Drosophila melanogaster: one gene and its partners. The protein of the gene in region 3 purifies or fractionates together with the protein of the main gene of each other region. This does not show direct contact. Each region holds a gene or a part of one and is shown on either strand. Other genes may lie near its edges. The genes, in order: Vps4, puf and CG2641.

What was found.
Region 1: the proteins of CG2641 (region 3) and Vps4 purify together in Drosophila melanogaster (affinity purification with mass spectrometry, with the first as the bait; one large-scale study listed by BioGRID). This does not show direct contact.
Region 2: the proteins of CG2641 (region 3) and puf purify together in Drosophila melanogaster (affinity purification with mass spectrometry, with the first as the bait; one large-scale study listed by BioGRID). This does not show direct contact.

Annotation. Positions count from the first base shown.
Region 1 is NC_004354.4:17,906,053-17,909,806, forward strand, and holds the start of Vps4 (vacuolar protein sorting 4), read left to right. Parts: upstream 1-1,639; 5' UTR 1,640-1,799; intron 1,800-2,521; 5' UTR 2,522-2,525; coding exon 2,526-2,661; intron 2,662-2,755; coding exon 2,756-3,617; intron 3,618-3,728; coding exon 3,729-3,754. Other genes in the region: CG7772 (uncharacterized protein), read right to left, coding at 123-285, 601-826, 900-1,005.
Region 2 is NT_033777.3:24,648,290-24,652,043, reverse strand, and holds the start of puf (puffyeye), read left to right. Parts: upstream 1-2,000; 5' UTR 2,001-2,357; coding exon 2,358-2,400; intron 2,401-2,498; coding exon 2,499-3,536; intron 3,537-3,653; coding exon 3,654-3,754. Other genes in the region: ash2 (absent, small, or homeotic discs 2), read right to left, coding at 1-183, 1,050-1,394, 1,455-1,639, 1,700-1,815. UniProt on the Drosophila melanogaster protein: Ubiquitin hydrolase that can remove conjugated ubiquitin from target proteins and polyubiquitin chains. Essential for Myc-mediated cell growth and proliferation in developing eyes and wings.
Region 3 is NT_033777.3:7,792,279-7,796,032, forward strand, and holds the start of CG2641 (uncharacterized protein), read left to right. Parts: upstream 1-1,790; 5' UTR 1,791-1,930; coding exon 1,931-2,042; intron 2,043-2,591; coding exon 2,592-2,941; intron 2,942-3,314; coding exon 3,315-3,754. Other genes in the region: CG10086 (uncharacterized protein), read left to right, coding at 1-442, 601-845.

The DNA of each region.
Region 1 (3,754 bases), on a different chromosome or scaffold from region 3:
TTGGGGCTAAAGCTTTGCTACAGTTCATGTAAACTCTTAGTATCTAAGAACTATCACCGTGGAGTAGAATGGGAGTAGACTTGGAGTTGGGCCAATGCTGTGCACATCCCAGCTAGCGTTCACTACCGCACCGTCTTGCGGTAGGTGGCGTCCATCAGGCGGTCAACCATGCTGTCAATGGGATGGATGATAAGCGGTATGCTGGCCAGACCCACCAGGGTGGGCACCGTCTTTAGCACGGGCATAGGCGCTTTGCTCAGCAGTGTTTTGGTGGCCCAGGTGATCCTAAAACGATATAAATGAGCATTGCTTATTATGTGAACATAAACTCATAAAAATGGGTATGATCTTGGAGAGAACGATGACTTCATCGTGTATCTACAAATATACAATAAACCTGTTTTTGCAACATTGCACATGCCATTCTACTACGTATATGCACTCTATAGTATAATTTTTACTATGCTTATATAAGATAAGTATTATGCAACTAATGGAAAAAGGGAATCTTTAAGACGCCTCATTCCCTACTTCCAACTATGTAAATACAACCATTAAGTCTACGTTTTTGGGCAATTTTCTGGCAAGGGTTGAACGCACCGATTGATGACCAGGCCGGGAATGGCGACGGAGGCCAGCATCTGCCAGCAGAAGACGTCGCCGCCCTTGACGGCCACTTCTCTGGAGGAAGCGCCCTCCATTTGGAGGCGCAGTGCCTTGTCAAAAGTGTCCGTGCAGACGTATCCGATGGCCATGCCGTAGGATGCGGCCACCAGAGACTTGGGCACCAGCGGGCGGAAGGACTCGCCAATCTCGTTGCTGTAGCCTGCAAAGCCGTAACAATTAAACTCATATATTTCGATGGATCTGGGCAGATTCTGCTTGGGAGGAACACTCACCCATATAGCGAATGAAGGTGTCCCGGTAGATGTCCACCTCCTTCAAAGACGTGGAAGTTTTCTTGGTGCCCTTATCCCGGCGGATGAACTGTTTGTCCTCCGACATTGTCTATTTTTTTTATTTTTATTTTTTATTTTTGGAATGGCAGAAGTTCTAATGCTATTTTGATTTTCGAGTAATTGGGTAATATGACAAGATGATCTGATCTTCTCCAACTGACGCAAAATCAGCTGGCAACTGAGTTTCCTAAAAATTCATTGAAATCGCTTAAAATATCGCTTTAAATAAAATAATTAAAGCGCCTAACTGCCTATAAATTGGAGACTTAAAAACAAACTGTTTATATAAATATTTTAATTGCGCGTATCGATAATGTATTATTGTTATCGATTGTCAGAGCTAGTGGAAAAAACGCTAAAATCAGCTATTTATGGCGATTAAAATTTATAGGAATTTATAGCAATTATGAAATATCATATATTAGTTTTTATATTGTATTCGTTTTTTAATGAGCTAAGTCCATTTAATATCGCTTGCTATACACTTAATCATATAACATATGAGTTCCGAACTCTTTTAAGTTAAATAAAGTAATGTGAACAAATTGTCATATTGTCACATATGTGAATTTATTAGAGCTGGATTTTTGGCTACACTTTCAAAAACCGCGCCAAGTAATTTCACCTTTCCATGTGTGACCATTGCAGCTGCACCGCAATCTAAGGCCCAGCCCGCGCTGTGGTCACACTGACAAATAAAAAAAAACAAGACGTCGTCATTCGCGTTGGAATTCCAACAAAATAGTTAAGTTTTCCTTTTGTTTAACACCTGTCGAGTTAGCCAGCGAGTTAGTCAGTGACGCTTGCCGGAATTCCAGGAGCAAGTCAGCCAGCATAAATGTGAGTAATGGTCGGAACTGACCCGCCATCCCCTCCGCAGCCGCCCCGCAAAAAGTTGGCTACTTGTGTTTTTGTCAATGCCGCTGTATTCGGGCATTAGTCATGCCCAGAAATTCGATTTTGCTCGCGAACTGCGTCACCGAAGGACACTGAGTAGCAAGATGGGAGTTACTACTCCGCCAAGGATCAATTGGGTAACCATCGTCATCGGCCTGGCCAGCGAAACTCACGCCGAGATGATAGATTCCCAAGGGGAGGGGGGCTATTACAGCCCGAAATATATCAAAATTCTATGGAATCATTATGCTCGGGAAGTTTGGCATTACAATATGAGTTATAGAATCGTTTTGGATAGTGAGTGTAAAGCAATCAAAGGATATAAACAAAGCTGGGATCAGATCCAGTTGATTTTGCATAAATCGATATTGTAACTATATTTTTAGAACCTGTTTAATAACTTTATTTTGAACTTTATTCTATACATTATGCTCCATATTGCACAAATCGATTTGCCCACATATTTGTGGCATCTTTAGTTCTCTGTGTAGTAAAGTTGTAGGCTTTAAAATATGACAACTTAACTCTAAGCTGAGCAGAAATGATTAGAAAGCGGAAATTAAGATGATAAAATCCATAAGTAGTCCACGTTAAGCCTTGGTGGATAGTTCCTCCCATCAAAATGCCAGTTGAAATAATGATGTGTGAACGTTTGTAACTTCCAGCACCATGGCAGCCGGTACCACACTACAGAAGGCCATCGATCTGGTGACCAAGGCCACCGAGGAGGATCGAAATAAGAACTACGCGGAGGCACTGCGTCTGTATGAGCACGGGGTGGAGTACTTCCTGCACACCATCAAATGTAAGCAGTCCCATTAGTGCATCTAAAATGCACTTATACTCACTGAATAGAAGCAAGCTGACTACTAACTATCAAATTACTATCTAACGAGCAGATGAGGCACAGGGCGAGAAGGCCAAGGACTCGATACGGGCCAAGTGCCTGCAGTATTTGGACCGGGCCGAGAAGCTAAAGGAGTACCTGAAGAAGGGCAAAAAGAAACCGATCAAGGAGGGTGGTGAGTCCAGCGCCAAGGACGACAAGGACAAAAAGAGCGACAGCGATGACGAGGACGGCGACGATCCCGAGAAGAAGAAGCTGCAGAGCAAGCTGGAGGACGCCATTGTCATAGAGAAGCCAAAGGTTCAGTGGTCCGATGTCGCTGGCCTGGATGCCGCCAAGGAGGCGCTGAAGGAGGCCGTTATCCTGCCGATTAAATTCCCGCAGCTCTTCACTGGCAAGCGGATTCCGTGGAAGGGCATCCTGCTGTTCGGCCCGCCCGGTACCGGTAAATCCTATCTGGCCAAGGCCGTCGCCACCGAGGCCAATCGCTCCACATTCTTCTCGGTGTCCAGTTCGGATCTGATGTCCAAGTGGCTGGGCGAGTCCGAGAAGCTGGTCAAGAATCTCTTCGAACTGGCCCGCCAGCACAAGCCCTCCATTATCTTCATTGACGAGATCGATTCGATGTGCTCGGCGAGATCGGACAACGAGAACGACAGCGTGCGACGCATCAAGACCGAGTTTCTGGTGCAGATGCAGGGCGTGGGCAATGACACCGATGGCATTCTCGTTCTCGGCGCCACAAACATACCGTGGGTCCTCGACTCGGCCATTCGCCGTCGATTCGAGAAGCGCATCTACATTCCGCTGCCGGAGGCGCATGCCCGCCTCGTCATGTTCAAGATCCATCTGGGCAACACCACGCACGTGCTCACCGAGCAGGATCTCAAGGAGTTGGCCGGCAAAACCGAGGGGTAAATGCACTTTATAAACTATTTGCTTCACTATCACACAAAATTGATCCATTGTTTATAATGTTTATATGTAAGCATATTTAACTAAGTGAATGATTTTCCGTTTTGCAGCTACTCTGGCGCGGATATATCAATCG
Region 2 (3,754 bases), about 17 Mb from region 3:
GATCCGGTTCGGCGAGTATATAACGATAGCCATCCTTGTTGAAGGGGTGTTCCAATGGATAGCCATGCGGTGGCAACTTTACATTGGCCGTAATATCGGAACTGGGCCGACCCTTCTTGCCCGTGGGACCCGAATCCGTGCCGGGAAATTTCCTTTTCTGTCGATTGTTTTTGGAGAGGGAAGCTGGAAGCATGTGGATCAATCATTAGTTACAAATCCAATAATAGACATGTATTGTGGAAATATAAAAACAGCTAATGCGTGATAGTAATAGTGGAGTAGATCTTGGGGCGTATCTGCAATGCTTCCAGAAGGAGCTATCCCCAAGGAAATTCGTTCACCAAGGAAATTGATTGCTGGGACATATGTAGATGAATGGGCAAAGTTCGGGTCGGTGCTGTTTCCGGGCTTACACTCCTCGTCCGTAAAAGATGACGCCATCGCGGAGGGAGAATGAGCAGGAGCAGAAGCAGGACCCGGTCACAATGGAACTGAAGGAGCGGGGGCCTTGCAATTGCGTAGTGCTCAAAATCAAATCGCAATCAATTCCCCCGAAAGAGCACCACACACACGCACACTGAGACACTGGCGAAGTGTTCCAAGCGTAACTATTTGTTTGTAATGAATGAGCCAAGTTGAGCGCGCCTCTGCCAGCCCCACCCCACCCCACTTCGCCCCGCCCACAATCTGACTACGTGGGGCTCTCTCTCTCTCTCTCTCTTTCTCTGTGTGTGTGCAAATCTGAAACTACGATCCGCATTGCGATTTTGTTAGTTGTTGTTGTTACTTTACTCTGGCAAACACTTGCGAAAGAGCGTGCGAAAGGAAGCGGCGATAAATAGGGGGAGCGAATAGGCAGCGGAATAGGCGACACAAAAACCACTGTGCCAAAATCAGCTGGTCGAACAGTGTTGCCAATTTGGCCGCCAAAAGATAATTCATTTAGCTTTCTACCACTGAGCGTTCGATAACACATGGGGTCAAGTTTTTAGCATTCAAATTATAGACTTCAAATCGATTTAAATGTCTATCATCTTATTTACACTCACCTTGAGTATATCCATCGTCGGTGAGTCGCAGGGCGCCGCTCTTGCTCATGCTCTCGTAGTTGGGCTTGATGATTCGCAGATCCTGATGGAATAGTCCGTACATGGCGCCATGTTCCGCATGCTCCTCGTAGGTGAACAGGGTCTGCACATCCTTGACCAAAGATCGCTGGACGGTGCTGTACCAGGACTGGGTGAGTCTGCGTGGCATGGTGGTCATGGCCTCCCAGTACTGTTCGATGTACGGTATGATCTCCTTGTCCTTGCTAAACTGAATCTGGCGACGTCCGTCCCTGGAAGCCGCCTGCTGCATGTTGGCAATGGCACAGTGGCACATCTGGGATATGGCTGGAAGTGGATATTGTTATTATCAAGAGGGATAAATGTGCGGGGCTTCTTTGCACTTACTAGCCTGGCTCTTGCGAAAGCTCTCCAATCCGCTGGCAGAGCAATTTTTACAGACGAACACATAGTTGGTGATGAAGGGCAGAAGTTTACCCTTACCAAGCTGGTAGGAAACGCAGGTCTCGTGCACCCAGCGTGAACAGGTGGCACACAGCAGCTCCACAATATTGAGATTGCGCTCCTTGCCGCTAAAAACAATGTCAATAGAAGGGAGCCGGCCAAGCAAAAAACCCATACAAAGAGCTCACCAGTAACAAACGCCGGCTGCGGAACGCGTTTCCTGCGATTTATCCTCCTCCGCAGTGAAGTTCACCTCGGAGCTGGACTCTGTCGGCGAGCTTGTGTCCATTTGGCTGTCCTCCATTGCAGTGATAAAGGTTTTCAGTCAACAATTAGCATGTAAACAAATATTAGCGGCCCGCAAGAAATTCGGTGGCTGGCCAGAGTGACCGTTGGCGGGCAAACACATGGTGCGTTTGCAAATACCAGAACGTCGCCAAAGAGCGATAAACGATAGACGACAACATTTAGAGCACACAGCCTGACAACCCTGCCCCTGCCTCTTCGCTCCAACTCTGGCTCTTGCTTCGATTGTAATTGTATATATATATATCCCTACCATATATATATGTCCGAGTGTAGAATTATCATTTTTTTGTTGCCGAAAAACAGTGTTCCGTGTTGAGAGGCGAGGGCGCCATCCTAAATGGCATTGCACGACCGCCGGGAGCGAGCCGAGCGACCAACGAATAGCAAGAAGAGCAAGTGCCCGCAACTCAGACCGTGACTCCGCCAGCGTATCCCAGACTCCGACTACTCTCCATAGACGGCCAGGAGTCGTCGCCGCTGGCAAGGCGGCCCTAACCCCTGGAAGCTACCGATTCGGTGTGCAGCTAGTGGAGCACCATGTGCGAGGTGTGCGCCGACTTCCAGAATCTCCTGGAGCTCTGTAAGTGAAAAGTGCACTGCGAAAAAAAAATAGAATGAAGACGAACACCGGAGCCCCTGCCCCCTGCTTACACATAGTATTCCGAATTCCTTTTGCAGATGAGGTGCGCGTGGCCAGCTCGGATCTGAAGTTCCAGCTGCTGCTGAAGAGCGAGATCGAGACCACCTTCAACTACATCCAGTCGTGGCCGCAGCGTCAGTGCATGTGCCTGTACCGGGACACCAAGAACTATGACCGTTTCAACCTGGTAGTGCAGTCGCTCATCTGTCTGACGGTGCAGCATCTGAAGCACATCGACCACCTCATCGACAACTACAAGCGGCTAACGGCCAGTGCTGCCCAGGTGGTGGCCCAGGCCCAGCAGCAGCGTGAACAGCAGCGGGACGAAGCGTCAGCCCAGGCAGAGGCAAAGGAATCATCCGCGCCAGCGGAAGAACCTAAGAAGGAGGAGCCATCTGGGTCCGCCGGTGAGGAGGCTCAGGGCTCCGGCGACGGGCCAGCCAAAAAGCCGCCAGTTGGCCCCTGCACTCCCCCTCCCCCGCAAACGGCCAATCCTCAGCACAAATCCCACCTGCAGTACACAGAGGAGCCCTGGATCCTGCCCGAGGTGGAGAAACTGTTGGTGCTCGTTTCAAAGGTGTTCCTGCTCAACTTCCCGCTGTACATCGCCCACAAACATGGCATGCACTCTCGGCTGGACGACCTGCAGGCTGAGGAGGCCCACCACCTGGCCCTCATCTGCGATCTTCACGACAACGACCTGCCCATCTATCTGCTGCGGAATGTGAGCCTGTTCTGCAACTCGGGCGGCTTTGGCGCCATGTCGCTGTGCTTCGAACATCCCGATCTGCCAGTGTCCACCGCTCACTCGATGACCGCTGCCGTCTCAAATGTGAAACTTTGGCTGAACTATCACTGTAATACTCAGCTCTTCGTGCCGCTGCGAAGTCGGATACTGCAGTACATGTGCAAGCTGTCGGATCAGAGCCTCCGATCTGCCGCAACCCGCGCGATGGCCGATTTTGTGTGGTCCTCTATGCGAGACCCACTGGATGTTGCTGTCAACTTCGACACCGAAGGATTGGCCCTGGCCTTTAAGTACTTCACATCGACCACGCTAACCATGCGACTGGCAGGTATGTCCTACGATGTTGACATACTTAATTAGGACATTTCGAATAATGCTGAAATATTATATTTATTTATCAATAAATATTATATAATAAGAGTAAATGATTTCAAATATTTTCCAGGCATGGCCCAGATCAACGCACACATTAATCTATTTAACGAGATCTGCACCACCGAAACGGTCAACGAAGTGGAGCTGTTCGGGCAGCGCATCGCGAACTGG
Region 3 (3,754 bases):
ATGCTGGTGAAGCGCGAGTGCGGTCCGGTGGCTCATAATGCGCAGAGGACTTACACGGAAACCCTGAGGATTCCGGCAACGGCGCCCACCTGCGAGCACCTAAGCAAGGTGGTGCGCGTATCTTACGAAGTGCGTGTGGTGGCTGTTATGAACTGGCTTATGGCTAATCCCCGGCTCATAATCCCTGTGACTATTGGCAACGTGCCCCTGGCAACTGCGGTGTCCGGACCGGACTTCCTGCCAACTAACGCCTTCCCATCTGGAAGTTCGCTGCCTGCCGACTTGCCATGCACCTCTACAAGGGCCATGGAACTGGCTCAGATGGCCGCAAGCGGGGTCAGCAACTCCGGCTACGAGATGGCCGAGGATCTAGAGGACTTCGAGCTTCCAGAGGATGGAGATGATGAGTTGGAGGCCGCCGACGATTTCGTACCAGATTTACGTGAGTACAAGAGAACAAAATATTTCTAGCTAGGACTTTGTTATGAAAGATGTTAAATAGAGCCCTTATGTATATGTTCTTTATATTTTTGTTATGCTATTGTGAGGCGATAGTTTCATTCTTCATTCTCCATATTTTTTATGTCATTTTTTCTATAGCTCCTCCTACCTACGAGCAGGCCATGTTCATGACCACTGATATTGCGGACACGGACGCGAACACGGTCAGCGAGGCCTCCCGATTTACTCCACGCTATCCGGTCTTCGATGTGGACACCTTCCAGAGCCCGCCGCCAAATCCTCCCCAGAAGAAAAGGCGCCGCCGACGCAGACGTCCTGCCGATCCTGGACAGTCGAAGCAACAACCGGAGAAACAACCAGTGGAGTCACCCGTGCAGATCTGAGGGCAGTTATCGCGAAAAATCACGACTATATCTTATCTCGGCAGTATTTATTTCTTTTACGGTTCGCCAGTGTACTTACCAAAATGTTTACTATATATGTATGTATATCGGAATGATAAACAACCCAGAATATAAAAGTGTCTACTGGGTGATACGCGATAAATTGCGACTATAGCCTAGACAACCAAGTCCATGAAGGCATTGAACTACAAATTTATTTATTCATTTATAAATTAAATTGAGTGGAGGACTTCTAGCTCAGTCCGTGAGTTTAAATACTTATGAGAGCTAGAAATTTTGATTTACGCATACATGCTCCCAATTTCTAATTCTATTGCTTGACAATTTCCATTAAAATGCAAAAAAAAAATGTATAACTTCCTCTCTATCTGAGTAACAGGTATCTGATCCGGCCCATTCCGAATTATATAGAATATATAGCATAGAAACGGACATGCATTTATCGCCTTAATACTGATCAAACATTCTCTCGACTGTCAAGATACCCTTTGGTTGCTACGCACCACGATAGAAAATCAGGAACTTCTTGGACTTTTGCGCGTTTGTAAATGAGTACAAATCATCATTAACAAACGTAATCAACTATCACAGACTTAAGTCCATAGACGACTTAACTTGATGTGATTCTTTTTCACCGTATTTCGTCCAAAAAATAATAACAACGCGATAATAACAACTCAACTAAACTAGAGCTTTCACAGAACCCACCTGATTTTTGTTTACAAATTTTTAGATTTGTTGTTGCCTTATTCTTCGTAACAAAACAAACAAAAAAGAGAACCGTTTATCAAAATCCGATGCCTCTCAATTTTGTTTTTTTTTTTTAGTGAGCGGAAGCCCCAAAAGCTCGCTCACCAGAAAAGCTTTGGCTCTCGCCAAGTGATGATGTCACTGACATCCCAGCTGTTGCAGACCGGCTATTCTCATTCTAAATTCTCACTTCGGGTGCGACGCTTGTCTGGTGCTAAATAAATTCACGTTGCGCGTCGCCAGTGAATAAGATCTGGAATTTCGAAATATATGTGCCAGCACCCACATACTAAATAATAGATTGCATTTCCAAAATGCCTTCCAGCTGCTCTTTTGAGCTCGATCGCCGCGAACCCATTTACTACAGTGGTGAGACGGTCAATGGAAGGGCCATTCTGACAACAACATCCGAAAAGTCTGTGAACGGTGAGTTTTAGTCGTTAAAAAGCGAATGGACTGATATGTTTTTAATTTGAGCGTAATCACTGTTGACTCTGTGATAACACCAAGCCGGTTTTATAGAATGCAGCAAACAAACAAGTTTGTTGTAGCGCCATAAAGTGTTTTGCTTCTTATATAAGAAGGATTTTAGCGACCATTTATGTGGCTTTAATTGTCTCAAATGTTTAATTCCTAGTATCCTAAATTGCATGCCCTGATGAGCTCAGTTCGCCCCTAACTACAAATTCATTGATCAATTTTTGCGTTTTTCAAATAGCCAATTCTAAAAACAAACTTGAAAGCTTTACAAAAGATAACAAAAGTATGTATACAAGCAAACAAGTATTTGATACAGTGCTCTGTATCAATTTCCATGTTCAGTTCCATTTTTGATTGGCGTAATCTCATTCTGCACTTACAGCAACTCCTTCGGAGTCCGAAGAAGGCTTTCACATACGTTCAACATATAAAGATTCGTTTTCGGATACAAACCATATTCAAATATCACTCTCTCTCTTTTCACTTTCTGATTAGAGGTATACATTCTTTTCGAGGGCGAGGCAAAGGTGCGATGGGATGAGCGGCGAACAAGGACGAGAGGTGGAAAGACCGAGCACTACACGGAGTATTTCCGAGGCAAGCAGCAGTACTTGTACACCCGGACATCGGTCTTTGGATCCGGGAATCTGCCGCCAGGTACGCACACCTACAACTTCTGCATTCCACTGCCCCTGGAATGCCCCTCATCAGTGGTGGCCCAGTACGGAAAAATCTTCTACGAGGTCTCCGTGGTCATCGATCGCCAGTGGCGCTTCAACAACGTCTTCAAGCAGCCACTGACGGTCATACAGACCTACAACCTCAACATGAGCCCCCAATTGCTGGTGAGTCCAAGGACAGGAACAGTTTACTAAAAGTTTAGATTGCACTAATCGGTAGTAAATCAATGCAGTTTTAAATTGTCCTGCGACAGATATTTAAGGACAATTAGACGAGTCATTCAAGTATAGAAACATTGCGTGCCTTATGGACGTAAATTCCGAAGTTATTAAACAAACAAGGGGTGTGTTCATTCAAACCAAAGCTATGGGACTAAATAAAAAATTTAAATAAATTAAAAATAAATTTTTTACGATCCTAACCTGTAGAAATGTAAACAAAAAAATGTTAATTAAACTTTAAAATTATATCAATAAGAGTAATTAGGTAATATTAGTTATTCCTAGGAACTAATAAATGCACACTCTTTTTCGACAGATGCCCCTAGTCCGAGAGGACATCAAGCACTTTTGCTGTTGGCCCTGCAGTTCAGGCCCGGTTCTATCGACATTAACAATACCCTTCGGTGGTTACGCGCCTGGTCAGAAGATACGCTTTACTCTGGAGATTGACAACCAGTCGAGTGGCTATGATCTGAATGGGATCGAACTGAAACTTAAGCAGATTTACAAATTCCAGGCTCAAACGCCGCACCACAAAACTCGCGAAAAGGAGCACAGCCTCAACAAAAGTTGCCAGCAGGAGCGCGTTTTGAGGCTCTCAAAGAAAAAAATTGAAGGAACCCTGGCTATTCCAGCAGTACCGCCCTCTTCCCGCACCGAAGGCATCATTTCGGTTAGTTACCAAGTTATCCTCACGATCAGCACTGGCGACTGCCACGTGGACTCGGACTTTGAGGTGCCGATTGTAATTGGCAC